Xenopus tropicalis: one gene and its partner. The protein of the gene in region 1 binds, or shares a complex with, the protein of each later gene. Links are inferred from orthologs where the notes say so. Each region holds a gene or a part of one and is shown on either strand. Other genes may lie near its edges. The genes, in order: lrp5 and fzd8.

What was found.
Region 2: lrp5 (region 1) and fzd8 share a complex: the UniProt entries of both Homo sapiens proteins name them as parts of the wnt-signaling complex. The link is inferred for Xenopus tropicalis from reciprocal best matches to the Homo sapiens genes LRP5 and FZD8.

The regions. Positions count from the first base shown.
Region 1 is NC_030680.2:37,155,581-37,171,714, reverse strand, and holds part of lrp5 (low-density lipoprotein receptor-related protein 5), read left to right. Parts: intron 1-2,012; coding exon 2,013-2,229; intron 2,230-3,248; coding exon 3,249-3,538; intron 3,539-5,877; coding exon 5,878-6,104; intron 6,105-7,139; coding exon 7,140-7,324; intron 7,325-12,356; coding exon 12,357-12,680; intron 12,681-16,134. UniProt on the Homo sapiens protein: Acts as a coreceptor with members of the frizzled family of seven-transmembrane spanning receptors to transduce signal by Wnt proteins.
Region 2 is NC_030682.2:21,475,141-21,491,906, forward strand, and holds fzd8 (frizzled-8 precursor), read left to right. Parts: upstream 1-8,200; 5' UTR 8,201-8,562; coding exon 8,563-10,305; 3' UTR 10,306-11,322; downstream 11,323-16,766. UniProt on the Homo sapiens protein: Receptor for Wnt proteins. Component of the Wnt-Fzd-LRP5-LRP6 complex that triggers beta-catenin signaling through inducing aggregation of receptor-ligand complexes into ribosome-sized signalosomes.

The DNA of each region.
Region 1 (16,134 bases):
ACATAGCAATATATAACTGCAGTGCCATATTCACATTTAATGCCCATATAACATTATTCAAATGCCAACTTCAAGTTTAATGTGAAAGGATTGTAGTAGTGTCCCTTCTTCATGGCCCACTTTGTAGGCTGCACACAGAAACATATATAAAGTGGGAACAAATGTATACAGTGGCCCGGTGGGGACAATCTTCTATACTGGGATGAAACTACAAAGACGGATGGCTTGAGCAGCCACACTCAAAAGCTCCAGTATGCTCGGGGGGGAAAAGTGGCGGGATGTCATCCCACTGTATTCCACCTTGAGGTCTACCCATGGGCACCCATGGTTTACAGGAACTTATACAACTTATACAGTTGGGGTTAATGTAGAAAAGGTGCATAAGCACTATCTGAACTTCCAGATATAAATATAAATTTATTTTTTTCTGTGCAACGCACAAACAGTGTTTTACACCTTTTCTATATAATCACAACTGAATGAGCCCATGTCATAAAGGGGAGTATATCTATCTATTTTTTACTTTTATTACTTCATCATTTGTTGTAGAGTGGTACCAGCAGATTAAATGAGGGTGTCTGCATTTCTGAGAGATGTTGAATTTAAAAGGTGTTGCAGGGTCATCCATCTGCTTGTTTATTAAAGCAGCACTTACCTCTGCAGCTTCTCACAAGGTTCTAAGGCAGTCACAGTCGCGCTGAATTCCCTGAAAGTAATTGCAATTAAAACAATTCTGTTATTTCTATGAAATTAAAGCACACATTAAATGCAATTTAGATACTTAATAGGTAGTGCATGTGTTTTTCCAAGCTAAAACCTTCTTTGTTAACAGGCCCCTTTAAATTCTTTATTAGGACAGTTATGGATTCTGTACAGAAAGTTGCCAGACTAATAAACAAGTCAAGTCTTAAGCAGGACAGTTTAAAAGAGGCACGCAATGCTTCAAATAGACCTGGAAAAACAAAACATTTGGTGCAAAGCTTGGCAGATTGGCAGCTTCTTCAGTCTCGGTCAGCTGCTAAGAATTTGGAATCTCAATTATGGCTCATATAATAATAACAAAAAAACAGAATACAACACTTAGGAATGGTGCTGGCATGCGACTTTTTGAATACAAGCATATACCAGGTTCCTAGCAAAATCTCTGTTTTAGTAAAACAGTTCCTTCATTTTATAGGCATATTTTTGATATTCAGTCCCAGTAGGAGTATAAGGACATATTTCATGTATGATTTACAAGAGGTATTAGGAATGTAATAACTGGTGCACACTTTGCTCCAGGCAGGGGCTTAACTAAACTTGACCTATTCCACCAAGATATATTGAAATTTCTCTATAATTAGGGCCTTACTTGGCTACCTACAGTCCTGGGCCCCTGCAACTGTAGGGTCTGCTTCCTCTATAGTTATGCCCCAGGTCTAGTAATGCATATTAACCAATCATCAGGTTGCATTTAGTCTGCTAATGCAAATAGAAGAATTAAAGCAAACATCTGGTTGAGTTACAGACCTGGACCAAGCTTTGCATCTGTTAATAGATAACCTCTTTAAGGAGTTTTCTGGAACTGCACTCAAGCATATGTGATGTTTACTAAGGTATTATTAAATGGGATATTCACCCAAATAATGACAAATAGTTTTTCTGTGAACAGTTTGAAATGCAATTTGTATTAAAAGCTGAATATATCTACAATCATGTAACATATGCAATTAATGTATAGAGGCTGCTTCTTTAAATTGTTTGTGTCTAACTAGTATTAGAGCTAGTTGTCACATTGAGCTCAGTATCTTTGTCTGAAACAACTTAACATATTTCAGAGATGCCTTAAATAGAAAGATAATTAATTAATAAAAAGTAACAATTACAAAATGAATTAATTTGTTTTCCATTAAATAAAGAGTAAATAGCTTGTTAAGTGTACCCAACCTTCTAACCTGCTCAAACTTCTTATTCTCAAAAGTTATATTTTCCATTTCAGCATCTCATTTATTTTTCTCTTTACTGTACTGAAGGTTATCAACGTTGATGGAAGCAATCGGAAAACTCTCTTGGAAGACAAACTTCCACATATATTTGGCTTTACGTTGCTGGGAGATTACATCTATTGGACAGACTGGCAGAGACGAAGCATTGAGAGAGTTCACAAAGTCAGAGCAAGTAGAGAAATTATTATTGACCAACTCCCAGATCTAATGGGTCTAAAAGCAGCAAGTGTCTCAAATACATTTGGTATGTATTGTTACCTATACACAATGATCATTTAACATAATAGAAGCTGAACAGTATATAAAGTATATATATACTTTTTATATAACAGTGTATAGTCTTAAAGGGGTTGTTCACCTTTGGATTAACTTTTAGTGTGATGTAGACATTGATATTCTGAGACACTTTGCAGTTAATCTGCATTTTTTTATGGGTTTTTACCAGCTACACAGTTTGATATTTTAAAATCTGGTTGCTAGGGTTTTATTTACCCTAGCAACCAGGCAATGGTTTGAACAAGAGATGGGAATATGAATAGGAGGCCTGCATAGGAAGATAAATAATAAAAAGTAACTAGTAATCAATAAAAAGTAACAATAAAATTGCAGCTGGGGTCAGTGACCCCCACTTTAAATTTGAAAATATGTAAAAGAGAAAGGCAAATTATTTGATTCCAATAACTATAAAATAATAGATAATTAAAACCAAGTTGCTATGAATAGGGCATCCTATAACATTCTAAAAATTAACTTAAAGGTGAGCCACTCCTTTAAGTCAAAAAGAAAAAGCTTTAGAAAGTATATATAATATGAAAAACAATAATACTGATGCCACCCAATCAGTTGTATTTTAATTCCTGATGGTCAGTGACTCTGGCAACCAGCATTTTCAGTTGCAGGCTAGCCGAGGCCCAATAGGAAATCTATTGCTTACAATAAGTTCATTTATAACATACTTAAAATGAATTTGAATGTCTTATTTAAGGCAACAGCCCAGTACATACTAAAAGTAGTAGTATTTGTAGCTAAGATTGCCTGGGAGTGGCATAAGATGATGGTATATATCCTGTTCCCACCACAAGTTTCCAATAAAAGCGTTATATATATTTCTTAAAATCCTTATACTCTGACACCTGCAGATAAAGGCTAATGTATCAGACATAATTGCAGAACCCCCAGCTATGACATTGTATGTTGTTGCATTTGAATCAGATTGTCTTTTGGGCCGAAACTCTGTGTAAATGCTTGCTTATTTATTTATAGGTACCAATCCCTGCGCTGACAATAATGGAGGCTGCAGCCACTTATGCTTCTTTTCTCCCCGGGGAGTACGATGTTCCTGCCCCATAGGACTGGAGTTACTTAGCGACATGAGGACTTGCATTATTCCTGAAGCTTTCTTGGTTTTTACCAGCAGAGCAACTATCCATAGGATTTCCTTGGAAACAAACAACAATGATGTGGCCATTCCTCTCACAGGAGTCAAAGAGGCATCTGCTCTTGATTTTGACGTATCTGATAACAGATTGTACTGGACTGATATCACCTTGAAGGTACAACTAGCTGCAAGTTTTACTTATCGGCTTGATAACAGTTGAACATATTATGTCCAACTTTACCAGCTAAACTTAGGAAAAATACATTGTGCACCAATGGGGTTAATAATCCATGTATTAGGTATATTTAAACTATTTCACTATTGTCAGCCAACTGATAGTTCCTGTTTATGGCCTGTTTCAAAGTAGAACTTTCATCCTTCCTAACAGAAGTAGCCATGAAGTAGTGCAGAAAACCTTTTCCAGGCTGGTCTTCTTAAGCTCCCCCTACTTCTGTGCTTTTGGCCAAGCTTCTTGTTGTGGCAGACAGGTCTTATTTAACAGAGGCTTAAAAGTCAAATCTAAAGCTCTGGGAACTAACATGGGGCACGTCTTAACTTTCCCTGGGCTGATGTGCCTTCGTGCTAATACAGCTGCCATAAAACAACGGTTGAACTTCTCTAGCACAACAGATTTGTTGTTATTCTCTTCAGAACATATAAATGCTACTTTGTATATTCTGTATATTCTTATTCAGCTAATTATATGGGAATTGTTTCAGGTCCTTGGTTTCCAAACTACCTTCTGGATGAAACTATTTTCATAAGTCTCACTGCCGAAGACCAAAAATTTTGTGATAACTTTGACATATTTTTCATATCTGCTTAGTCTTAACGATAGGTGCCAAGGATTCAGACTGGAGCATAGTGTCTCATTCTTTCCCATCATGGGAATCTTTAAAACCTTCAAGCAACACTAGTCATCAGTCAAAATAGAAGAAGGGTGTTTTATTTACAGCCCATTACCTATGGCTGTAGGACCGTGAAAGGTCCAAAGACCTCAAGGAAGCAGAAGAGTTTCTACAGATGCTTTCCATTCCATGGAAATCTACATTTGGATTGAATTCCATTTTTCTGACCCTTATAGAATCTCATAATGTTTAAATAATCTACCCAGTCATTAAGCTTGGAGGCAATAGAAACTGAATCACCGGGTATTTTCTCGGATTTTCTCAGCATAGCTAGCATACAGTGAACTTAATGAAGATGCAGAATTCAAGACGTAATGGTTATGGAATCCGCTTCAGAATTGTGGATATTTACCTTGGCTTTCATCAACTTTTCCAAAAGATCAAGAATTTCACATGAATCACGGACTTTTATTTTGGAACCTCAATAAACTACTAAACATAATGAGGGGTACATTTAATCAACCATATCTTGGTGCACAGTTGCTTCTTGTTTAAATAATTCTCTCTCTGTGTGTGTTGAAGTCAGTCTTCTACTTCTGAGCAGATCAATCTATTAGCATGGGTCTGAATTTGCACATGATGAGTTTTCACATGATGCAGTGTTAAAACTCATAATTGTGGGTGAGCCACCAAGCATACTTGCATTGCAATCAGTGGTTTGTTCTGCAACCGTTAGGGTGAAGACACAATGGGCTACTAGTAGCAGCTACTTTTTCAAGGCTACTAAACTCCAAAAAATACCCTCCCATAGACAATACTGAGCATTGCCTCTGCTAAAACACACATAGAGACAATTATCAGTAAATGATCAGCATTATCTGGTTTAGTAGCCACGACAAGTAGCTGCTACTAGAAGCTTTGTGTGTCTTCAACCTTAGACTTAGGCCTGGGAATGAGAATGGATAAAGAATAGTAAAGGTCTAGGCAAAAATAAAAATTAAAACTAAGAATAACAATAACATTGACTCTCTAGCAAGTTCATTTGTTTTTGCTGGTTACTTAGGGTCAGTGGCCCCTGATAACCAGATAGAATTTTAGGTGCAGGCTGGAATTTGGCAGAAGAGGATGGCTAATAATTGTTAAACCATGCATAATAAATTCTGAAGACCATTTGGAAATTTCCTTAGAATAGGTCCTACAATAAGGTGACGTGAATATCCCCTTTTTCTAAAATCATATTGTTTTAATTCCTTTGTGTCAAGTCTTAAAGCCCTCCGCTTGTGGTCTGGGAGAGTTCCAAATACATTCCTAAGATCTAGATAATCTACATCCACAACTCCACCCTTTATTTAGCCTGTCATCAAACTCAGTTAAAATAGTCTGGCGCTAAATCAATTCTTTTTGGACCCCACTTTATTTTTGAATAATTTTCCACTAAAACAAATGGGGAAAGTTGTGTGTGTTTATTCATATTTATGGTATCTTGCAATATTTATTCCTTTGGAAAAAACATTAAATAAAACAAAATCCACAGTCTGCTGAGTGGCCTTTTGTGAAAAACAGTAAAAGGGTGTATACAACCTACAATTGGTCGAAATATCTGTTTCTTAGCTATATTTCCTCCTCTTTTACTTTCTAATAATCATATCTATTTTTTGTTTTGCAGACAATAAGTAGGGCATTTATGAATGGAAGCTCCGTAGAACATGTTATTGAGTTTGGCCTGGATTACCCAGAAGGTATGGCAGTTGATTGGATGGGCAAAAACCTTTATTGGTCAGATACTGGAACTAATCGTATTGAAGTTTCACGTCTGGATGGTCTGTATCGTCAGGTTTTGGTCTGGAAAGATTTAGATAACCCTAGATCCCTGGCTTTGGATCCAGCAAAAGGGTAAGCAGTGAAATCCTACCTTCCCCTCAAAAGACTGTATTCAAGAGTATATTAAATATAGATGTGTACATTAAAGCACTCCACATAATCTCACACAGGGTTTTGTTTATAAAGCCATAGCACAAGCACTACATTAGGTGTTCCTAATCTGTGTGATTATCCCCCCTGGGAGGAGAACCTGGGGGCCCAGCCTGGAGTACAGTTATAGCAAAAAATGGGAAGAATGCTTATTTTCTCTATTAAATGCTCTTAAAAGCCCAGTCTGCAGGTCAGTTAAGGTGAGCTATTGGGTTGGCGTCATGTTTCCTATGTTAGACTTGTACTGAGCCTAAAAACAAGTTATTCAGTAGTGAACTGTAATTCTAAACTTCTGCAATTCTGCTTGCCTGGATAAGTGAATTGTCTGATTATCTGGAGAAATATAGTAATGTCACTACCTTATTTCTTTGCCCCTGCGTGAGGCAGAAAGGGGCACAGAACCAAAGTACCCATAACTCTTCACCCCAGGTATTAACCATGGATTATTGTGTTGCTGTATGTCTGTCAATCCTCATGCAATTGTACCCTATTATTATTATCACATATTGATAAAGTGCCAACATGTTCGGCACAGCTGTGCAATAGATGGGTGTATACATCACATATTTACATCCGAAAATAGAACCAATAACCAATACAAGAGGTAAAAAGGGCCATGCTCCCTGGAGCTTGCAGTCCAAAAGTTCTCTGTATGTGTATGTTTTGCCTCCTTATTGAAAGCAAAACAATCCTGTTGGGTTTAATTACTGTTTAAATAATTTTATTAACAGACTTAAGGTAGGAGATCTGAATTACAGAAAGACTCCTTATCCGGAAAACCCCAGGTCCTGAGCATTCTGGATAACTGGTCCCATACCTGTACTCTTTTGGTTCCTTGTTTTAGGTTTCATTATTCTCTAGGCATTGCATATTTACAGTTTGATTGTTTTCTATATGACTCTTTGCTTTCTTTATAAATAATATATTCACATGTGTGGGTTTTGGGGTATTTTCTAGCTACATGTACTGGACAGAATGGGGAGGAAAACCAAGAATAGTAAGAGCCTACATGGATGGGACCAACAGCATCATTTTGGTTGATAAAGTGGGTCGAGCCAATGACTTAACCATTGACTACGCCGATCAAAGACTGTATTGGACTGACCTGGATACAAACATGATTGAATCTTCAAACATGCTAGGTAATTAAGGTGGCAACTACAACAGGGATGCCAAGAACAAATTTAAAGGCTGCATTTGTCATCATTTGCAGTTTTTGTTCTATGAGCTACCTGGTTTCTATGGGTCACTAGAATTGGAGCAAGCTTTACAGCCTTTATTTCACCAACCCTTGTGTGTTATTGTATCAATATGACCAATATGAAAGGTTTTGTTTCTAAACCATTCATGTGTATGATTGAAAAAATGCCAGGCAACAACGTCACTTTATGCTTATTTGTTCCCACTTAAATTACAGTATTTCAAGAATTCTGTCTAGCAACTTTCAGTGAAAATTTAAGTTAAAGGAGAAGGAAAGGTAAAAACTAAGCTTTATCAGAAAGGTCTATGTAAATACAGCCATAAGCACTCACAGAATCACTGCACTGAGTCCTCTATCAAAATAAACAGTATTTCTTGTCTCCTTTTTTGGGAACATGTTCTTCAGTATCAGACTTCCTCTCTTTTAGGGCCTTTTAAACCTTCAGGTTTAGTGCACAAGTCTGCTCAGTTCTCTCCCCTTCCCTTCTCCTGCTCCCCCCCTCCCATAAGAATGCATAAGAACTCACTTCCCCACCCTTAGGAATGTGTGATCTGAGCTTCCAGCGGCTATAACTGTGGCAGGAAGCTACCAAGACCAAGCTAAAATGGCAGCTGTTATCAGAGGGAGCTTTTAGTGCTCTTTACACTGGTATAGTAAAGCTTTCTGCTGAATAAATATAGAATTCTAGGTGGCATAACGTTTAGCTGCCATTGGCTTGATATGCTCCTTCATGCTAGTAGCCATACAATTTTTTTAAGAAGAGGGGATATATGTGTTTTATGCATTAACGTCCCCATGCACAATAAATAGTTGCAATAAAGAAAACTACAGAAGGATAGAAACTTAACCTTGAAAAGTTGTAAAGCACATATACAATAAATAGTTGCAATAAAGAACCTACAGAAGGAAACAGAATCTTGAAAAGTTGTAAAGCAGACTGGGGGTGGTGGGACTGAGCAGAATACCAGCTGTTGTCTTGTACAGTTTTCTAATTCCAGGTTTCAGCGGCTGCCTGAGAATATTATGACTTCATACATCTTAAATTCATTCTTTAAAAATAGCTGAGCTTGTAACTCTTCCACTGCCAGTAAGACCTACAGTTTCTTTTATTTGGTGAGGGACCCTGCAAAACCTATTGGCTGTAAAGAATTCATGTTCTTTAGTGTAGGGGTCCCCAACCGCCGGTCCGCAGACCAGTACCGGGCCACAGGCTTCTTTCTAGTGTGCCGCCTCTGTTACCGGCCGCGGTAAAAATGCAAAGTAAACGAAGCGCCACCTGAATAGTACGCATATAAAAGCACCGCGCCGATCAATGCAGGGCGCATGTAGAGGCGCGTAGGAAAATGGCGAACGTAGGAATACACAGATGAACATGCGAATGAACGCATCGGGCGTATAAACCCCCCCCCCCCCCCCCCCCCTCCGGTCCGTGGAAAATTTTCACACTTGACACCGGTCCTTGGAGCGAAAAAGGTTGGGGACCACTGCTTTAGTGGAACAAAGTGCATGCTCTACATTGTAGATCCTTCAAAAAAATTACCATCATGGATGACATTCTTAACTAAATGTGGTCAGATTTTCATTCAAAGGTCATTGTAGCTCTTTCTTGTTGGGCCAGTTTCGTTTACCTTGGACATGAATGTTGAAGCAGCATATGTAATAATAATTAACTTGGATTCAAAAACAAAACTTTTTTTTTTCTTCTACTTCAAAACCCTGGTCGACTGTGAAAGGCAATTGGTAGGCAGGGGACTCTGCGCCTGCTGGTCATAAACACAGAATGGGTCCCTGTGTGACTTGACTAGGGTCTCCACGATCCCTTTCAGTGCAGTGAAATTTCTACCTACAATTGTAATTAGTATTTAGGATCAGTGGCGTAAATGATAAAGTATCAGCTTTGTTGCCCAGTATACTGTTTACTAAGATCCTCTAAATTACTATTGCCATTGTCATCTTGCAGCCACCGGGAAAAATTCAATTGGGAATTCAAAGCCTCCCCCATTTGGTCAGCACAGCTGGTTTGCCAAACCGATCTGTTTCAAGAGGATGTAGGTGGCATTACAATACTGTGGTGCAGCCTATAGTAAGAAACATTCCCCTAACACCATCGACAGGTTTGCCTCCCAAAACATTCTTAAGCCAACCCCACCCATCCAAACAGTGCATTGGGTTCCCTTTGAAAACAGGCGAACAAATGTCTATTAAGAGCAGCAATCCTGCCTACTTGAAACAGAAGCCAAATGTGGTTTATGGCATATACCGTTTAGTGCATGCTTTGTGGTCGAAATGTCAGATATACTCAGTATTACTGCAACATGTAATGTGCATTGTGTAATGTAATAAGTATTACTGCTATGCTTTGGGACCTATGGTGTTTAAAGGAGAAGGAAAGGCTAGTAAAGAGTTAATCTCAAGCTGCAGGCATACCTTCAGTTGTCTCAATAGTGCCCTTAAGTCTCCTATATTTCACTTGTTCAGATGATCAGAAGCCAAACAGGAACAAAAAAACGCTGAGCTGTGTATTAGAAAGTTCCCATAATGCCGCACTCCTGCACAGACACCCAGACCCCTGTACATGCTCAGTTAGTTAGACCATGTGTCAGCTTCCTGCTGATTAGCTCAGATCCACATTCCTAAGGGGGGGGCGGGGAGTGAGTTCTTAGCATTCTTGGGGGAGGGGGTAGCAGGAGAGAGCAGAAAACAGAAAGCTGCGTGTCTCTGGCACAGGAATTACAGACACAAGAAATCATTTTATAGAGAAGTCAGTGCAGCATTTCTGTGAGTGCTTATGGCTGTATTTGCATAGACCTTTCTGATAAAGCTTGCTTAGTTTTACTTTCTTTCTCCTTTAAGGTGAGTTCCTATGATATCTCTGTACAGGGTCACTGTAAGAAAAAAGGGGCCCAACACACACCAAAACTTTGTTGGTGTGTGCTGGACCCCCCCTTTTTTTTCTTAGTGACCATGATGTGACGTGGCCAAACATATGGGAGTCACACCACCACAACTGTAACCGAGAATTTGAATTGTAGGTGAGCTCCTCAGTTGACTTTTCCACTCTATACCGGGGCTACTTTAAGCCACAGGTAGGTTTCAGAGCAAAGTTTCCAAAGTTGTGCCCCCCCCCCCCAAACGAATGAATGCACTTCTGCATCAGTATTCTTTTTAATAGATCCAAAGTACAGTGCCTGTGAGTGCAGACATAGGACTGAGCAGAGGCCAGTGGATTAAATGATTCTCGGCCTATCAGTAAAAATTGGTTCACATTTTTTTGTTTTACATGACTACTACTGTATATACTCGAGTATAAGCCTAGTTTTTCAGCACCCAAAATGTGCTAAAAAAGTCACCCTCGGCTTATACTCGAGTCGGATGCAATGAGTCCCTCCAGACTAGCACCCTCTGTTTTTTGTGTGCAAATTAGCCCACCCGAAAAGTAAGCTTTTCAGAAAGGTCTATTTAAATACAGCCATAAGCACTTACAGAAACGCTGCACTGAGCCCTCTATCATAAGAAACAGGATTTGTCGTCTCTTTGTTTTCCTGTGCCAGAGACATGCAGCTCTCTCCCCTCTTCCTCATAGACTTACACACTGAGCATGTACACTGGTCTGGGTCTTGGTGCAGGAGTGAGGCATTATGGGAACTATCTTTACACAGCTCAGCATTTTTTTTCCTATGAGGCTTCTGATCATCTGAACGGGAGAAATATGGGGAGACTTAAGGGCACTATTGAGACAACTGAATGTATGCCTGCAGCTTGAGATTAACCCTTAATTAGCCTTTCCTTCTCCTTTAAAGATTAAAAGGATATGAGGCTGGTTATTTCTGGGGCATGCTTAATTAAAATATTATTTCAGATGATATGACTGGGGGTAATAACTTGTCACCCCTTCATTTACTAGATCGCAATGTTTATTTTAAGAAATACCACTTCTATCACTCTCTGCTCCATCTTTATTTAGCCATCATTGTTAACATGGTCCTGTTTGACCTCCCCACCTGCTGACCTTGCGTGTAGCAGTTTCTTGTGCGCTGTTCTGGATAACAGCAGCGTGTGAGCAGGATTGCCAGCGCTGAATTTGATTGTAGGGCACCCAGAGAGGGAGGGCTGAGCTGGGGTAATGTATACAAGCGATCCTGCTCGCAATAAAGAAAGCATGCACACAAAGATGATTGTCTGCTCACGCGCCTACTGGGAAAGCTGTGATGTGCGCATGCGTTTGGTCTGATGCATTGTGGGGATTGTTTTCTATACTAAGCGGTTTGACTGAAAGAGGCAGACTATAACTGAGTATTAAGGTATGCCTTTCCATAGACCCATTATTGGGTTTAGAGTTTCCTTGTCTTTTAAAATACTCAGCACTCTTAAACTAGTACTGCTACAACGACCACCGTATGGACCTGTAACTTAAGGTCCCCATACACGGGCAGATAGTAGCTGCCGATATCGGTCCCTTGGACCTATTCGGCAGCTTATCTGCCCGTGTAGGGGCAGAACCAAGGGGCCTGGCCGACCGATATCTGGCCTGAAATTGGCCAGATATCGATCGGCCAGGTTAGAAAATCCAGTCGGATCAGGGGCCGCATCGGCTCGTTGATGTGGTCCCCGAACTGACTGCCCCATTGCAGCGTTTAGAATTCGATTGTTTGGCCCCAGGGCCAAACGATCGAATTCGCCTACATGCCCCCCGATATCGCCCACCCATAGGTGGGGATATTGGGTGAAGATCCGCTCGCTTGGTGACATCGCCAAGTGAGCGGATCTTATAGTGTATGGGGACCTTTACAAAGGTTTTTCATTTTTGGCTTCAGAATCAGATAATTAGTGGCCTTCACAGAAGCAATATATTTATTATTGGTTTAGAGACAATATGTGCAGGAAAGCCTTTTTTTTCATTGTTCCGCTTTGATGCTCATCATTTGTTTTGTAAGGGCTTTTTGGCATTTACCTGTGCTTGTGTTATTTCCCAGGAGCGGAACGAGTGATTATTGCAGATGACCTTCCTCATCCCTTTGGACTAACGCAATACAGCGACTATATCTATTGGACAGACTGGAATCTCCACAGCATAGAAAGAGCAGACAAGTTAAATGGCAACAACCGCACTTTGATACAAGATCACTTAGATTTTGTGATGGATATCTTGGTCTTTCACTCTTCCAGGCAGGATGGTTTAAATGACTGCATGCAGAATAATGGGCACTGCAGTCAGCTCTGCTTGGCTGTGCCAAAGGGATACAAGTGTAGCTGCTCCTCTCACTATACACTTGACTCAAACAACAGGAATTGCAGCCGTAAGTTCTAACTGCATTTGTAAATATGCTAAATGACAACTTTTTATTTCAGGCGGTTCAAGAACCCACTAGGAATGACTCTATTTTGGACCTGGTGATTTCTAATAATAATGAACTTATCTCTTACATTTGTGTGGGTGAGCATTTGGGGAACAGTGATCACAACATGGTCTCCTTTGAGATAATGCTGCAGAGACAACTCTATAAGGGAGTAACTAAAACGCTCAATTTTAGACGTGCAGACTTTGCCAGTATAAGGGCATCTCTGCAATGTGTCAACTGGGAAAGGCTTTTCATGGGGTTAGACACAGAAGGAAAATGGAACATCTTTAAAACATTGCTTTGTAGGTATACACAACAGTATATCCCCCTTGTAAGCAAGGAGAGGCATCGCAAAGCAAAACCTTTATGGCTGAATAAAAGTGTTATTGTCGAGGTTGGTAAGAAAAAAACGTGCTTTTAGGGCATTCAAATTAGCTGGGACAGCAGAAACTTTCATCAGGTACAAGGACGCAAATAAAGCATGCAAAAAAGCTATCAAGCAAGCTAAAATAGAAATGGAAAGGAATATATTGCAGCTAGGAGTAAAAAGAATCCTAAATTATTTTTTAATTATGTGAATAGTAAAAAGATGAAGCAAGAAGGGGTGGGAACTTTATTATCATGGGGGGGGTAAGTTGGTTGATGTGAATGGGGAAAAAGCTGAAATTTTGAACTCTTATTTTTTATCTGTCTATACATCTGAGGAGCCAGAAAATGAAGGCTTCCCTTGTAATATGCCCAGTTCTAGTAATTTAGCTACTGACGCGTGGGTCACTCGGGAGGAAATTCAAAAGAGACTTGAACATGTAAAGGTAAACAAAGGTCCAGGGCCGGATGGGATTCATCCCAGGGTATTAAATGACCTGAGCGCTGTGATTGCCAAACCTCTTCACTTAATTTTTCAGGATTCATTGAGGTCTGGCATGGTGCCGAGAGACTGGCGGATTGCTAATGTGGTGCCGTTATTTAAAAAGGGATCCCGTTCTCAACCTGAAAACTATAGGCCTGTTAGTCTGACATCAGTAGTAGGAAAACTTTTGGAAGGGGTAATAAGGGATAGGGTACTTGAATACATTGCAGTTCACAATACTATTAGTTTGTGCCAGCATGGTTTTATGCGTAACAGATCTTGCCAGACTAATTTAGTTGCCTTTTATGAGGAGGTGAGCAGGAACCTTGATGCTGGAATGGCAGTTGATGTCATCTACTTGGACTTTGCTAAAGCGTTTGATACAGTACCTCACAGAAGGTTAATGATCAAATTAAGGAATATTGGCCTAGAACATAATATTTGTAATTGGATAGAGAACTGGCTGAAGGATAGATTACAAAGAGTGGTGGTAAATGGAACATTTTCTAATTGGACCAGTGTGGTTAGTGGAGTACCGCAGGGGTCAGTCCTTGGTCCTTTGCTTTTTAACTTGTTTATTAATGACCTGGAGGTGGGCATAGACAGTACTGTTTCTATTTTTGCTGATGACACAAAATTGTGCAAAACTATAAGTTCCATGCAGGATGCTGCCGCTTTGCAGAGCGATTTGACAAAATTAGATAACTGGGCAGCAAACTGGAAAATGAGGTTCAATGTTGATAAGTGCAAAGTTATGCACTTTGGTAGAAATAATATAAACGCAAACTATCTACTGAATGGTAGTGTGTTGGGGGTATCCTTACTGGAGAAGGATCTAGGGGTTTTTGTTGATAACAAGTTGTCTAATTCCAGGCAGTGTCATTCTGTGGCTACTAAAGCAAATAAAGTGCTGTCTTGTATAAAAAAAGGGCATTGACTCAAGGGATGAGAACATAATTTTGCCCCTTTATAGGTCCCTGGTAAGGCCTCACCTTGAGTATGCAGTGCAGTTTTGGGCTCCAGTCCTTAAGAAGGATATTAATGAGCTGGAGAGAGTGCAGAGACGTGCAACTAATCTGGTAAAGGGGATGGAAGGGTTAAACTATGAGGTGAGACTGTCGAGGTTGTTTTCTCTGGAAAAGAGGCGCTTGCGAGGGGACATGATTACTCTGTACAAGTACATTAGAGGGGATTATAGGCAGTTGGGGGATGTTCTTTTTTCCCATAAAAACAATCAGCGCACCAGAGGTCACCCCTTTAGATTAGAGGAACGGAGCTTCCATTTGAAGCAGCGTAGGGGGTTTTTCACAGTGAGGGCAGTGAGGTTGTGGAATGCCCTTCCTAGTGATGTGGTAATGGCAGACTCTGTTAATGCCTTTAAGAGGGGCCTGGATGAGTTCTTGATCAATCAGAATATCCAAGGCTATTGTGATACTAATATCTACAGTTAGTACTAGTGGTTGTATTTCAGAAAATTGAATATATAAACGCTCAGCCTTACTGCTCACACGGCACGATGCGTCAATCCCCAATAGCCCACCGCTTGGCTTTTTTGGAATATCACAAGAAAAGAGGAGAGCACCTTCACGCAGATGAACTGCTTCAGCCTTTATTCAAACCACAGCACACAACATGTTTCGGGCTGTATCAAGCCCTTTCTCAAGTGTAACTAGTTAACAACAGAGTGAACATTTGAACCCATAGCCCCACCTCCTAAGCACTAATTAGTGCTTGCAAATATCCAGCCAAATTACTTAAGATCACCATATATTTCCTTTTACAAAATATTTATAGAAAAGTCCATCAATTTAAAAAAGTCCATAATTAGAAAAATACTGTATAGAAAGTCCTTAGATGATCCATCCTTTGTGCACAGAAAACTGTGAAAAAATATTAAAATCAGAAAATCACCAATTAAACATACATATACCAGGGTGCTTGGGACTGCACATCACCATGCCTACCAAATAAGCACCATGTATAACAAATAGCACGATAAAAACTATTATAAAAACAATCTTACCCTTATTTTTATTTAGCTACCATTTCTGGTAAATAAGATTTTCAAAGCCTGCAAAAAGATAACACATATATAGATCCATCAGTGTATAGATAAGCTAAAGAATTTCATAGAAAAGGTTTTAAACTCCAAGCATCATTAAGCCCATCTGGCACCAATGTACTGAGTTTCTTTATCCATTTACCTTCACACTTTAAGAGCTCTTTCTTTCGATCGCTACCCCTCAATTTTAAAGTCACCTCATCTAAAACACACCATCTAAGTTGTGCTACATTATGCTTATGTTCCATAAAGTGTCTAGATACTTGTGTGTCAGTTTGTGTATTAGCTTTAAAGTTCCTAATATTCCCTTTATGCTCTTGAATTCTTAATTTTACCTCTCTTGTGGTTTGACCCACATAGCCCAAACCACACGGGCATTTCAATAGGTAGACCACATATGAGGAATTACACGTTGCATAGATTTTTAAAGGGATCTCGTACCCTTTTGTTGGATGATGTATAACTTTACCTCTCATTATTGAGGAGCAGCAGTTACAATT
Region 2 (16,766 bases), on another chromosome or scaffold:
GCAGAAAGCACATCCGCGCCACACACTAAAACTAATGTATGGCCATAGGAAGTCAGGTTCATGTTCATTAAATGCATGTTTATGCCCCCCTGTTTAAATAAATAACGTCCGGGATAAAGATTGGCGCAGTCAGACGCAGAAACCAGACTGCACTATTTATTCCAAGGAAAATAAACCTGGCAAATGAGAGAGGAAGGAAAGGAGAAGCAGAAATGCCGTTTCCACCGCAAGGCAGGGCTCTTCCTTATGGTTTCATTTTCTGCTCATGTGAGCTATTTATTTTGACAGCTGACAGACTCTAAAAATGCCATTTTTTTTCTAGACCCCCATACTATATTGGGAGATTTAGGGAAGAAACCCCTCCTTGTCTATAAATCAGAGAAGGCAAATAAACCATGATTGTGTGTTTCACTTATAAAATGATTACTTGTCGCACATAATTAGCACTGCTAATGATTGTTTCCCCACCAATTATGTCAGGGGGACTCACAATGGCTTTTAAGCAAACTAGCCACCAAGTAGGCAAACAAATACAATAGGGTCCCCTAGCTGACATGTTCTCCTTATATGTGTGTGGTGGTGGGGGGGGGGTTAAAGAATGAAGGGGGGTCCCTTGTTCCCAGCAGCGCTGCAACCTGGTAAATCTCATACACTAGGTTACAAGGGGGAGGTAAGTGCTAGCATCAGGGCTGGCAGTATCTAAAATACATGTTGTTAAGATTACAGTAATTACCTCCCCAGCATGCGTCCCACACAGGCGCTAAATGAAACATCAGCACATCAATTAGAAAGCAAACAGTCCATTCTGACTATAAGGCAGCCCCCCTGGGATGTCCTAACAAGCGCAAATGAACCTGCCAACCTCCCTGCCTCTCGCCCCGCGCTGCACTCATTTAAGGTGGGGTGAGCAATTACACTTATAAAACCATCGAGGATGTATTGGGTTTTTTTTTTTTAACCTCCCCTTTAAACAAGACAAGAATGAATGCTAAAACAATCTGGGTGGGCTTTATACTGTACAGTCCGCAGGCTGCGGAACTGAAATCCTGTCCAGCAGCCCCAATTGTGTATAATGGCTTTGTATTCTGAGCCAGAATCACAGTTTGTGTTCTCATTCAATAACGCACGTTATCCATAAATGGATATATAAGTAATACCTATTGATTATTATTGGTTGTATCAGCAATAGCTCTCAGTTGCTCTCAGTGTCCCCAATCTGGGTAGTTATTTTTGAATTCCTGACTTGGAGGCAAGTTTTGGTTGAATAAAAACAAGATTTCCTACCAAATAAAGCCCCTGTAAGCTGATAGTGTGCATAGAGGCTGCCTAATAGCCAATCTTAGCCCTTATTTGGCTCCTCCATGAACTTTTATGGTGCTTGTGTTGCTCTCCAAGTCTTTTGACATTTGACTGTGGCTCACGAGTAAGAAAGGTTGGGGATCCCTGCTATAGAGAAAGCAGACCCCACGGTCTGGGCCCCCACACAACTGCAGGGTCTGCATCCTCTATAGTTAAGCCACGGCAGGTAGGTAGCTGCTAGGTATAGCACTATGAAAACCATATATGATGCAATTCTGTCTACTTTATACTAGAATTTGTCCAAATGTGCACCCACAGTTGCATTCGGTTTGATGCAATGGTCTGCAATTGCGTCAAACACAATAACAATGCACAATGCACACTTTATTTATAAAGCGATACAAGGATATGCAGCGCTGTACAATCTTACATATACAAAATTACACACAGGCAGGACAAGTGTTATAATAAATATGTATAAATACACAGGGCATAAGTGCCATATGGGTTACGGGTAAATGCTGCATTGTGGGTAAAAGGCATGGCGAAGTGCGTCTACAATGACACATTGCACATTGCAACCTCATGTAGCCAATCCATGGGCACTGGCATTTTACTGGACCCCAGCACTACCGGTCTGCTTGGCCTTCAGAGGACACAGGGCAGTGGGATATGCAGTTAAACAAATGAATTTTTAGTGTTTAGACATCACTAAAAACCCTACAATTCTCACAGTCACAAGGTGCTTATGGGGTTCCCTATTTCTCACTCCAGCTGCTGTTACTGAGCCCCATTATAAGTCCAGACAAAGAGAAGTCTCCCTAATTACCGAGAGCATGCACTTGGCATTGATACGCTGACTATGACATAATTACTGGTGGATTTATAAATTACAAACATGCTTATATACAGACATTTTAGCTAGTTTTGAGGCTTCCTTATAATATTGTCCAAATCAATAGTAAATGTGATTCTCTGAGCAGCAGCTTGTCTGGCTGGGAATCCTGGGAATTGAGGCTCAGCAGCAGCCTGAACGCAGCCAATGAAGCCCATTTCTGTATCGGAGCAACATCTGGCGGAGCGCAGGTGGCACATCCCCAAGGCAGGCGATACCAGTAGCTGCGCTAAACCTCCAGCTATGCCTCTGTATTCATCCAAACCAGATTTTTTTTTTTTTGACATGAGCTTTTCAGTCCAGAAAATTCTGACCGGCCAAATCGCTTGTATAAACAAAGCCTAATTGCTTCATTATATGCAAAGGGGGCCATCAGCAGGATAGATGGAAAGGGCTGATTGGCAGAAATACATAATCATGTCATTCGTTTGCTTTCTTTGTTTTTAGGTGCTAAGACTAATTGGACACTTGTGTGTTAATGGAATTTCTGACACGGCAGAACTACAAGCTTGCCTGCAGGATGAAGTGCTAACTGTTGATGTGTTTCTATAAGCAATCAATTCCTTAACTATAGAGAGTGGTAAATGTGGGGGGGTCTGCGGCTGCACTGGGGCCACAGTCTGTGCAGCTTGGTACTGGCTAGCATTAAGTGTGTGGCTATCCTGCACCTTGCAGCCCCTGGCATTCCCTAGCTGGTGCGTCTGAATGCCATGCAATCTCACACAATATACCACTTATGCCTCTGTGTTTTTGAGTAAGGTGCACCTCTTTGGGTTCCATTCTAGGAAGGGCAAAGAGCTGAACATTCTGGCACGACCCACTGGGCAAGGTGCAAAGTGCAAAAAAACAGAGGGGTTCATGGAACGGCAGGCTAGGGGGCAAAGTGCAATAAACAGGTGCATGCCTGTGTTGGACTGGGCCAGAGGGACACCAGTAAAAAAATCTAGTGGGCCCCACTTACCCAAAATCGATATCTGTCTTCCCTGTCACTCCCCCACTGCCCTCCCTTCCCGGATTGTGGCAAAAAAAAAGTTTGTGTGGGGGGGCCCTGCAGTAGCAGCACCAGTCTGACCCAAGTGCAAGCTGTGTTTTTATGACACTTTGCACCGTGTCTCACCTTCATCACCCGCCGGGACAGTTTTTTCAAGATGATTACAGCACTGCCTGTGTTCGTCAACACTCTATTAACAAGGGGTGGGCTCTGCCAGCATATTTGTAGATTGTAAGCTCTTTTGGGCAGGGCCCCCTTCACCTCTTGTATCGGTTATTGATTGCTTTATATGTTACTCTGTATGTCCAATGTATGAAACCCACTTATTGTACAAGGCTGCGGAATATATTGGCGTTTTATAAATAATTGTTAATAATAATAATATGCAGGGTGCTGGTGGGTGCAAAGGAGGTTTGTTCTTACTGCCCTATGCCAGGTGGTAATTGAAGGACTGTCTTGGGTAGCAGATTTTAAGGGTGCAAGGTGCATAGTGCTTAGTGAATGAGCACAACAGGGGATTAGGAAATTTTTCTTAGGGTGCTTTGCCCGCAGTTTTGTATCAGAGGGGGATACCAGAGAGAGCCAAGAGGAGCAGCATTCATAGTGGCTTCTGGGGCCCACTAGTATCAAAGGCTCATGGGCCCCTGCAATGTGTATATATATTTTTTTTCCTATACACGGCCTTGGCACCATAGAAACATTTTGTTGTGGGGTGCAGTAACTTGTCATCATAACCTATTAGCAGCTGCAGGGATTTCGGGCTGACCTTGGTGTGAGAGATTTATTTACCACTGCCCCTAAGCTTATCTGCTGGCGGCTGATTGATTAGTTTAATGATTACACGGGGGATAATCTCAGTGATAGCATTAGACACCTCTGCTGCAATGAGTAGTACCAGTAACAAACATAAAGTAACCATAACATCACCCTGGTTTATCTGCACCCCCAAAAAATGTGAAGACCTTAGCTCAGTGTTTGTCAGACTGAGGTCGAGCCCCACCTTTGAGCACCCCATGACTGATGACTGATATATCCAAGGGTTGCTGTTATCTGCTTCCATGAATATCTATTCTGGGCCCCCCACACTAGGACAGCCCCACGATTTGGGGATCGCTAGCCTGTAACTTAATAAAATCAACATATTTGAAATTTGTAGGCAGGATTGGACTGGGCTGGCCAGACACCTGGAAAAAACACCATGGGCCCCACAGACTCTTCCCAACTGAAACTATGGGTGTCCCCCCAACCCGCCCCTCCACTCATGAGTGGGGGAGGGAAGGGGTTGCTACGTCAGGTATTACATGTGAAGGACCTCACAACTGGGACAGGGGGGCCCCTGAGGTGGCAGCACTGGTGGGCCCTGGTCCCCCCAGGCCGACACTGTATATACACTGAGATGCACACACACTTTTGTTACTATGGGTTGCAGTTCGGCAACACCACGAAGGCAGCATATTGGATTAAAAAATATTTTATGAGCAGAATATATTTTAGTGCTTTTTTTTCATTGCACGGAAAGGACTATTTTTTATTCCCTCTTTTTATTGTATACTTCCTGCCAGGGTGTATTTCAGATGCCTCTCTGGCCGTGCACTTTCACTAACTAAGGGCTTAGGTTACAATTCCAGCTGTTTCCAGAAACCACAGGCATTGGGTTTTTTCCTGTGATTTACTCCTTTATAAACCTGCTCTATATTAATGACTTTATATATATATACAGTATATGTGCTTCATATAGGCCTTTATACCAAGTTTATTTTTATAGAGCCACCTCCTCTTCATGAAAATGTATTGCTTTCAAAAATAGACCACAGTTATTCATTTTTTCACATATTTTCAATTAATTAAACCCAAGTGCCCTTCCCCAGGAGCAGCTCAGTATGTCTGTTCCACAACTCTCTTGTTACAATATTATGGAGTAGTCGCTGGCATTTCTCACCAGCAGGTGCCCCCAGCTAATGTATCACACTGTAAATGGTATGTACTATGTACGCATGTACTATCTGAGAGCAATATGATTGGTAAAGGGGAACGTCTAGATGTTTGGATGTTTTATCTCACAATAGAATAGGTGGAAGTGGTGTATTGAGAGCAATATATATTGTGATGTTATAATGTGGGCTAATACACATTGCGTACATTGCAGCCTTGTTTTCACTCCATTAGCATATGTTTGGGGCTCATGTGAGTTGGTGACAATCCCGGGGGATTCAGGTGAGGGGTGGAACTGTTTATTCTGGGGAGTGAATATTCTCAGATGTGCCCATACAGGGCCATGGGCACGGAGTCACATAAAGGGAGACAAAGATGGGTGTATTTATTAATAAATGAGGGATTATTTATCAAAGAAAATGTGTAAATGGGTGCATGCAAGCGGGTTCCTTCGTGTAGTCACAATGTTGTGTATACAAACAGGACTGTAGGAATAAACATATACATATTGTGTGGTGCACTCCGAGGTTTTACCCCTGCACGGCACTGCGAGGGTGAATTGGCCACAGTTGTTTACTGGTACCGACCCAGGGCAGGTTTTAGGGAATTACATTGGCTCTAGGCCCTCAGCACCACAGGGGTCACTCATGAGAAAACCTAGAAAATATGTTATATTGTATAACAACTGTTATTGCACTGATGTTCAACCCGTAGCCCTTGAGTTGCTGTTGCACTTTAGGGTGAAGACACACAGAGCTTCTAGTAGCAGCTACTTGTCACGGATACTAAAAAAGACAATACTGATAACTGTCCCTATGTGTGGTTTAGCAGAGGCAATTCTCAGTATTGTCTATGGCAGGGGATTTTCTGGCGTTTAGTAGCTGTGACAAGTAGCTGTTACTAAGTAGCTCCATGTGTCTTCACCATTAAGGATGAAGACACACTAAGCTACTAGTAGCAGCTACTTCTTCACAGCTACTAGACTCTAGAAAATACTCTGCCATAGACAATACTGAGAATTGCCTCTGCGAAAACACATAGATTATCAGTAAATGATCAGCATTGTCTATTTTATTAGCCACGGAAAAGAGCTGCTTCTAGTATCTCTGTGTGTCTTCACCCTAGCAGTTAGAACACTTGGAACAGTGTATAAAGGATTTTCATGGTTTTTATGTACAGAAAATAATACATTGGCTGCTTGGAGGACCAGGATACCATTCCTTTATCCTTAGTGGGTATATATATATACAATTAGATTGTAAGCTCACGGTTAGAACAGCTAAACATCCCTCCACTGTGTAGCAAGGGGGAAGCCTCCTTAAGCTCTGGGTTTTTCTCAGTAACTAAGATACTCAGTAACTGTTTTAACATGTTACGTTCCGACACAATAGCCGAGCCTCCTATTTTTCCTTTGGATTTCACTCACTCGTGGGCTGCGCTGCTTGTTTGCATGCTCTATAGCGTATCAATTTCCTGAGCTCCCAGACTATCTGTCTACAGCGCCGTCATCTCATTTGCCATAAATAAACACATATTGTGGCATACGTCCCTTGGGTGGAAAAACGCATGGGTGTTCTTAAAGGAGGAGCAAGTATTTAGTTCATAAATGTGAGTGTGGCGCTGCTGCTGAACTACACATCCCAGCACCCCCAGCATATGTTCTCTGCACTCACTCCTGGTTCTGAATCTTGAAACAGCAATAGTCACTGTCTTCTACCACATCGTTTCAGGAGTCAGAACCAGCAGAGCAGAGAACATATAACAACCAAATTGTACCCAATTCAGTCTGATTTCAAGCCAAATCTTGCCTAGAGCATTATGGCTCCCATGTATATAAATATAGGTATGGTTTGTAAACATTCTGCTTGTATTCCCATCATTAGGGCTAATGTCACACTTGGGGGCAGATTTAGCAAAATGTGAGTTTAGAGCTTAATACATAAAAACTCACCCATGTTCTGTTTATTCTTATGGGATTTTTAGAAGCAAATTTAACAAATGGGGAGTTCTAACTTTCACCCAGTGATAATTATGCTTCTAAAAATCCCATAGAAATGAATAGAACGTGGGTTTATGTATTACGCTCACATTTGGATAAATCTGCCCCTAAGTGTGACATTAGCCTTATAACACAAACCTGAAGCAGGTGAAGTTTTATTGGCGCACGTACACCCCCCCCCCCCCCGTTTCATGTGTCCCCCCTTTACTCCACACATCATTTTCACCTTTCAGGTCCTCTTGCTCCCCTTTGCTCTCACCCATTAATCCCTACCACGCACCCCACCTTAATGGCGCCTCTTCTGCCTACCCCTAGTTCCAACCAACTTTGCAATGAGCCATGGAGTGTGCAGGGACCCCCAGGGCTGCCACCTCAGGGACTCCCCACCCCACTCTTTATGGACATGATCAGGGATGGAGGGGGGGACTTGCACCCACAGACAATTAGTGATGGGGAGCCCAGTCCAACCCAGGAGCCATGTGACATCACTAACCAGTGACTATAATGGATGACATCACTAAGCAACAAGGCAAGCAGAGCAAGGGCAAGTCTCCCCAGTTTTCCCCCCAAAAGGCAGTTCTCGGATTCTATACAATATATGTATTATATATATTAATGAGGGGGAATTGTAATAATTAATAATTCATATTTATTGTAATAATATTAAACCAGCACTTATTGATATGATTGTTCTGACTGCTAATTTTACATGATACCCTATATTTAGTACTATATTCAGTATAAGAGAGGCCCCCAGACACCTGATTGAATTTCCCAGGGAGCTAGTGGGGGGCACAGGCTGAATGGGGACAGTCTCTCAGGCTGCTGATTATTAGGCTGCTGCACATTCAGTAAATACATCAGGCTAATGATGTGTGCTCTCTATAATAAGGTACATCCCTTGGCTCTGCATAACAATGGGCCGCTAATAAACACGCTGAGACCACCTTTAGTAAGGTTGATTGCTTCAGGCAGCAGCCCCACCTCTCTCCGGGGGGGATTAGTGGATTGGGATGGGGGGGTGGGATCTGACCGCTCCCGGTATAAATATTCATTGGGAGCCGCCAGTGAGCGCAGAGAGAGGGAAGGAAGGGAGCGGCGCCTGTAGAGAAGCGCACAGCCCACAAACGCTCAGCCAGTAGCGCACAGCCCACAAGCGCTCAGCCAGTAGCGCACAGCCCACAAGCGCTCAGCCAGTAGCGCACAGCTCACAAGCGCTCAGCCACAAGCGCTCAGCTCACAAGCGCACATTCATCCAGGTGCCGGAATATAGATTTATTGCCACTCCGGGCTAGTAGCCCCATCAGTGAGAAGCCGAGGGAAGCTGTCACTGTGGATTTACAACCCTTCCGACTGGGACTGGTTCCTTCCCGCTGAACTTGCCGGCGAGTTGAGGGGATGAGCCCCCGGCAGTGACCCCCGCAGCTGTGAGTGGAGCCGTGCAGCATGGAGTGCCTGTACCTGCTGCTGCTGGCCGTGTCCTGGCTGCAGGGATCGCAATGCGCCGCCGCTAAGGAGCTGTCCTGCCAAGAGATCACCGTGCCCCTGTGCAAGGATATCGGCTACAACTACACCTACATGCCCAACCAGTTCAACCACGACACGCAGGACGAGGCGGGCATGGAGGTGCACCAGTTCTGGCCGCTGGTGGTCATTCACTGCTCCCCGGACCTGAAGTTCTTCCTGTGCAGCATGTACACCCCCATCTGCCTGGAGGACTACAAGAAGCCGCTGCCCCCCTGCCGGAGCGTGTGTGAGCGGGCCCGGGCCGGCTGTGCCCCCCTCATGCGTCAGTATGGGTTCGCCTGGCCGGATCGCATGCGATGTGATCGTCTGCCCGAGCAGGGCAACCCCGACACCCTGTGTATGGACTACTACAACCGAACGGAGCAGACCACGGCGGCGCCCAGCCACCCAGAGCCCCCCAAGCCCCCGGCCAGGTCGGCACCTAAGGGCAGGACCCGTGTGGAGCCCCCAAGGCCCCGGCCCCGGGCACCAGGGTGCGAACCGGGCTGCCAGTGTCGGGCCCCTATGGTGCCGGTAACCAACGAGAGGCACCCCCTGTACAACCGGGTCCGGACCGGGCAGATCCCGAACTGTGCCATGCCGTGCCACAACCCCTACTTCAGCCCGGAGGAGAGAACCTTCACCGAGTTCTGGATCGGCCTCTGGTCGGTGCTTTGTTTCGCCTCCACATTTGCCACTGTATCTACTTTCCTTATCGACATGGAGCGATTCAAGTACCCAGAGCGCCCCATCATCTTCCTCTCTGCCTGCTACCTCCTGGTCTCGGCTGGCTACCTGGTCCGGCTGATTGCTGGCCATGAGAAGGTGGCTTGTAGCCGTGGCGAGTTGGACCTGGAACATATTATCCACTATGAAACCACTGGGCCAGCGCTGTGCACCCTGGTCTTCCTGCTGATTTACTTCTTTGGCATGGCCAGCTCCATCTGGTGGGTCATTCTATCTCTCACCTGGTTCCTGGCCGCTGGCATGAAATGGGGCAACGAAGCCATAGCTGGCTACTCACAGTATTTCCACCTGGCCGCCTGGTTGGTGCCCAGCATCAAATCTATTGCTGTGCTGGCCCTCAGCTCAGTGGATGGGGACCCGGTGGCTGGCATTTGCTTTGTGGGCAATCAGAACCTGGACAACTTGCGGGGATTTGTGTTGGCACCGTTGGTCATCTACCTGTTCATTGGCAGCATGTTCCTCCTGGCCGGCTTTGTCTCCCTATTTAGGATCCGGAGTGTCATTAAACAAGGGGGCACCAAGACTGACAAACTGGAGAAACTCATGATCCGGATAGGGATATTCAGCGTTTTGTACACGGTGCCGGCCACCATCGTGGTGGCATGTTTTTTCTATGAACAGCACAACCGGCAGGGTTGGGAGGTGGCACATAACTGTAACTCGTGCCAGCCAGAGGTGGCACAGCCCCGCCGACCAGACTATGCCGTTTTCATGCTCAAGTACTTTATGTGCCTAGTGGTTGGCATCACCTCTGGTGTGTGGATCTGGTCGGGCAAGACTTTGGAGTCGTGGAGGGCGTTCTGTACCCGCTGCTGTTGGGGCAGCAAAGCGACTGGAGGCTCTATGTACAGTGACGTTAGCACCGGGCTGACATGGAGATCTGGGACTGGCAGCTCAGTGTCCTACCCAAAACAAATGCCCTTATCTCAGGTCTAGACGGAGGTTTAACGTGGACTTAAGGCGAGGTTTGCAAATTGTTCTGTTTTAACTTAACACTCTTGTCCCCTTACCTGGGCAGCGCCCAACCTGTGGCCCATTCAGCTCTTGCTGAGCGACAACTTCCAGCAGTGTCCACTTAGTGCTGCTGGGAGTTGAAGTTCCACAACAGCTGGAAGGTTGCAGGATGGACCTTACACCTAGATACTGGGGGGTGCGGGGGAGGGACAGACCTGAGACTTATTAAGACTGACCAACGTCGCCCAACTTGCCCCCCCCCCCCTTTAGATTCTTGCTATTAGCATGATAATGAACTCTTAATGGTATCCATTAGCAGGGACTTGAATGACTGGTCCGGACAATGTACCTGGTATTGAAGCCTCCCTGATTTCTCCCATTTATATGCAAGGAGCATTTGTGAAGGCGATAATTATAGCTAAGCAGGGGCCGGGATTGCCCCCTTGGCTACAAGGAAAGAGGCAATAACTATCTGTGCTGCTGCTGCTGCTGTGGGTCATTCTGGTTCCGTATCACATTTAGCTGTGTCCTCAGCCATTTCCCCCCCCCCCCCCCCAGTCCCATGGGTGAGCCCTACTTGTGCCGCCAACTGTGCCTGAATAATGTTTATTTCTTCTTGGCATAGCGGGAGTCTTAACAGCAGGGTACGGGGTTCTATGAATTAACCACCAAGCCTGTTTTAACTACAACTCCCAGCATCCCTGGTTGGACAGCCCTGGCTTTTTTTTTTTTTTCTTCCTAAAACTAAACTATTGCCTTAAAAATGGAATAAAATGTCTTAATTAAGAAGCAGTACCCCAATTAAATACGGGTTTCTTCCATAATAGGATGTATTTATATAATTATTTGTCTTGTAAAATGTGTAATATACTGTACATAGGCACAAAGCTATGATGCTCTGTACATTTCTTTTGTATAAAGGATAGAGGCTTCTCAATAAGAGCAAATATTGGAGTATTCTATTTTGTCAATAAAAATGACCATTTTTTATATAAATGACATTTCCGCTGCTTTTTTCTGCTTAACTGTTTCCTATCGTTCATATAAATATGGTTTGTATTCAGTGTTATTGTCACTAGGACTTTGGGGACACTTTTGTTTTAACCCTCCCCTTCCCAGGGCCCAATATCTTAAGTGTTTACAAGCTAGGGAATGGCATGGGTTGGGGTAGCATTAGCTGTATATGCACGGAGCTGGCTCCATATTCATTTGTAGCCTGTGGGTCGGCACCTAAACTTGGGTCTTGCTGTTTATGGTGAAACGCCCTGCAGCATTAGGGCAATTACAATAAGGTGCAGAATTAATTCAAAACCAGTGTTTCAGGTCTCAAAGCTTCCCCTGCCAGGGTCCCCTGAGAATACAGGGTAGGCAACACTAGCCTTAAAAGTTGCATGCTTGTTAATGTAACCCTACTATAGTTTATATAAATACCCTGATGTATAGACACAGAGGCAGCTATTCCAGCTGAAAAAAGTAGAAAAGATACAGGTTACATAGCAGATAACGCATAAGCTCTGTAGAATACAATGGTGTTATATGCTATGGAACCTGTTTATACATTTATATAAACTATAGTTGAGTTCCTAAAGCAAACCTGTCGCAGGGCAATAGAACATTATATTTGAATGACTTTAAAAGCTTTCATATTTTGGTGTTACTGTTCCTTTAATTTCATCAGGCTGGGGGAAGATATTGTCTCTTGCACTTCTCATTATCCCTGACAGGAAACAACAGGAAGTGGGGAGAGCAAAAGTCTTGTTTTTTCCTTGTAGTTTCACCTATGAAAAGGTCCATTATATTTTGAAAATGTTAACATGAAAATATGTTTCCCACTGCTTCCCTATCTATCATCTATCTATCATCTATCTATCATCTATCTATATATATATCTATCTATCTATCTATCTATCTATCTATCTATCTATCATCTATCTATTATCTATCTATCTGTCTATCTTATATCTACCTCTATCATCTATATATATATATATCTATCATCTATCTATCATCTATCTATCATCTATCTATATATATATCTATCTATATATATATCTATCTATCTATCTATCTATCATCTATCTATTATCTATCTATCTGTCTATCTTATATCTACCTCTATCATCTATATATATATATATCTATCATCTATCTATCATCTATCTATCTTCTATCTATCTATCTGTCTATCTTATATCTACTTCTATCATCTATCTAGCTATCTATCATCTATCTATCATCTATCTAGCTATCTATGTATGAATGAGCAACTTATATTTTACTGTTCAATGTCCCTTTAAAAGTGGTAAACTCTCATATTATCTATCCTCTGTCTATCATTTATCTATGAATAGATAGTAGCTTATATTTTAGTGTTCAATGTCCCTCTATTATCTATTTATCTCTCATATCATCTGTCTATCTATCTACCAATAAGAAACTTATATTTTCAATGTGCCTTTAACAGTTGTAACCTCTCATTTTATCTACCATCTATCTCATCTATCTATCTACAAGCAACTTATATTTTAGTTATCTATCTATTTATCTATCTATTTTTGTGTTCACTGTTCCTTTAAGAGTGGTAACGTATCATTCCCTATGAGGCATGCAGGGGAAAGAATACCTGGGGCCCCTATAAAGTGTAGGCTCATTTATTGGAGTGGGGGGGCTGCTGATTAGTAAAAGAAGATGAACCCTATACCTGTCCCTAGTGGTTGAGGACGTGGCCCCTCCAATAAGTGAGGCACCAAATGAATGGGGTTAATCTGTAGGGAACTCCCGTCCTTTGAGTCCTACAAACTTTGATCTCCAAAACATGGAGTTTTTGTGTCCCCGGGTCCCTCCCCTTTGTGCCGAGGAGCAATTGGGCCACCGCAGAGCCTCGAATCTTTCAATGAAAGACATTGGGGCACTTTATGTTTTTTTTGGCATCCGGAGGAGAATTGTAACAGTTAGTGAGGGCCGGCAGGGAAGGGATGGAGGACGGTCGTATAAAAGAAAGCTTCTTCCACATTGTTAGGCAGACGGCAGGCAGCAGGACATAAGCTGGGAGGGAAGAAAAGGCAGCAAGAATGCACTACAGGTGGTCTGCTCACATAATCCCCCAATTTGAAGTTTTCCCCCTTTTTCTTTTTTTTTGGCCAGACAATATCATTACAAAAATTCTCCTCTCTCCTGCTTTTTCTCCCTAATTGAAGCAATTCCCTGGCTATTATTGGAGCAGATTTTGTTAAGAAGGTTTCTGTTCGGGGGGGGGGATCCAGCATGTTTCCCATTCCTGATACTTATCGCTAGTGTTTTTTTTTGTGAAGAATTAGGAATAATGGATAGGAGGATGTGCGCCTTGAGTGCATATATGCCCTTAGGACTCTTATTAGCCTGTCAGTCTGCATCAGGAATGGCAGCTCCTCGCCTAATGACATCCATCATCGGGGCTGGCAGGGTTTGCACTCTCTCTCACTGCTGGGATTGCTATTTGTTTAGTTTAGTCGTGTCCCCTCCAGACCCCAGAGCCGCCATGACACCCAGGCCCAAAGGTTGTGACACCGCCACATTGTGCCAAAGGGACTCTGCTGTTTTATTATTCATTAAGGGGGACTCAATAATGAACTGCAAGTTGTTCTTCTAATAAAGAGATCGGTGTTCCATTTAAAGCTGGGGGGCGGGGGGGCATTTGTCCGTTGCACTCTTCATTTTCTGCTTTTGTTTTCCTGTGACCCCCTAAGCAGGAAGTGAGGAGTGCAATCATTAATTACCTGCGCGCTGAAAAAATAATTGCTTTTAAAACCATATGTGTTGATGGTTGTTATGGTTAAGAGACATCAGCGCGCCTCCTTAAAAGCCACTTGAATTGCACTGAATATTTATTGTTTATATACCATATGGGGGGTTGTCAAGCCTGTGGGATTCCAGCTGTGCTCAACATCTCCCACTATGTTTTGTACCTTGTTGTGAATCCAAGTTCCCAGCTTGCACCGTACATTTTGCTTTGGGCGGGAGGCAGGGAGTTGTAGTTGGCAATGGAGTGTGGCAAGAAATCATTTTATACCATTGAGCAGTATCTACATAGAGTCATGGGGCGAAGTTAAGATATTTGGCAATAATAGCCTCTGGGAAGGGACTGGGGCTGTGGGATAGCAGGTATAGTAGGGAGAGATGGTGCCTATAGTAGCAGTGGGGGGATAATAGCCTCTGGGAAGGGACTGGGGCTGTGGGATAGCAGGTATAGTAGGGAGAGATGGTGCCTATAGTAGCAGTGGGGGGATAATAGCCTCTGGGAAGGGACTGTGGTTGTGGGATAGCAGGTATAGTAGGGAGAGATGGTGCCTATAGTAGCAGTGGGATAATAGCCTCTGGGAAGGGACTGGGGCTGTGGGATAGCAGGTATAGTAGGGAGAGATGGTGCCTATAGTAGCAGTGGGATAATAGCCTCTGGGAAGGGACTGGGGCTGTGGGATAGCAGGTATAGTAGGGAGAGATGGTGCCTATAGTAGCAGTGGGATAATAGCCTCTGGGAAGGGACTGGGGCTGTGGGATAGCAGGTATAGTAGGGAGAGATGGTGCCTATAGTAGCAGTGGGGGGATAATAGCCTCTGGGAAGGGACTGTGGCTGTGGGATAGCAGGTATAGTAGGGAGAGATGGTGCCTATAGTAGCAGTGGGGGGATAATAGCCTCTGGGAAGGGACTGTGGCTGTGGGATAGCAGGTATAGTAGGGAGAGATGGTGCCTATAGTAGCAGTGGGATAATAGCCTCTGGGAAGGGACTGGGGCTGTGGGATAGCAGGTATAGTAGGGAGAGATGGTGCCTATAGTAGCAGTGGGGGGATAATAGTCTCTGGGAAGGGACTGGGGCTGTGGGATAGCAGGTATAGTAGGGAGAGATGGCGCCTATAGTAGCAGTGGGGGGATAATAGTCTCTGGGAAGGGACTGGGGCTGTGGGATAGCAGGTATAGTAGGGAGAGATGGCGCCTATAGTAGCAGTGGGGGGATAATAGCCTCTGGGAAGGGACTGTGGCTGTGGGATAGCAGGTATAGTAGGGAGAGATGGTGCCTATAGTAGCAGTGGGGGGATAATAGCCTCTGGGAAGGGACTGGGGCTGTGGGATAGCAGGTATAGTAGGGAGAGATGGTGCCTATAGTAGCAGTGGGGGGATAATAGCCTCTGGGAAGGGACTGTGGCTGTGGGATAGCAGGTATAGTAGGGAGAGATGGTGCCTATAGTAGCAGTGGGATAATAGCCTCTGGGAAGGGACTGGGGCTGTGGGATAGCAGGTATAGTAGGGAGAGATGGTGCCTATAGTAGCAGTGGGATAATAGCCTCTGGGAAGGGACTGTGGCTGTGGGATAGCAGGTATAGTAGGGAGAGATGGTGCCTATAGTAGCAGTGGGGGGATAATAGCCTCTGGGAAGGGACTGGGGCTGAGGGATAGCAGGTATAGTAGGGAGAGATGGTGCCTATAGTAGCAGTGGGGGGATAATAGCCTCTGGGAAGGGACTGTGGCTGTGGGATAGTAGGTATAGTAGGGAGAGATGGTGCCTATAGTAGCAGTGGGATAATAGCCTCTGGGAAGGGACTGTGGCTGTGGGATAGCAGGTATAGTAGGGAGAGATGGTGCCTATAGTAGCAGTGGGGGGATAATAGCCTCTGGGACGGGACTGGGGCTGTGGGATAGCAGGTATAGTAGAGAGAGATGGTGCCTATAGTAGCAGTGGGGGGATAATAGCCTCTGGGAAGGGACTGGGGCTGAGGGATAGCAGGTATAGTAGGGAGAGATGGTGCCTATAGTAGCAGTGGGGGGATAATAGCCTCTGGGAAGGGACTGTGGCTGTGGGATAGCAGGTATAGTAGGGAGAGATGGTGCCTATAGTAGCAGTGGGGGGATAATAGCCTCTGTGAAGGGACTGGGGCTGTGGGATAGCAGGTATAGTAGGGAGAGATGGTGCCTATAGTAGCAGTGGGGGGATAATAGCCTCTGGGAAGGGACTGGGGCTGTGGGATAGCAGGTATAGTAGGGAGAGATGGTGCCTATAGTAGCAGTGGGGGGATAATAGCCTCTGGGAAGGGACTGGGGCTGAGGGATAGCAGGTATAGTAGGGAGAGATGGATAAGAGTCGGCTGTGGGGGTCAGGTCCATTGCAACACAGTTTTTTTTTCATAGTTTTAGATAATCCCAGACACACTGTTCCTTTTAGACTTAGTGTTTGCCTAGTGGTTACTGAGCAACCCCATTGTGAATAGCTGAAGTTAAGCTGAGCTAAAAACATTTCTTCAATCCTACAAAATGGCCTGTGCATTACACACTGGGAAGGTAAGTATCTTAATACAGGGGCACAATGTGGGGCAGCAGTAAGTCTGTATCAGTGTAGCACCTGCCATAGAGAACCATAGTGAGAATGAGCTGAGCCTGGAAAGTCGCACACAGGCAGCCGTTCCTATCTGCA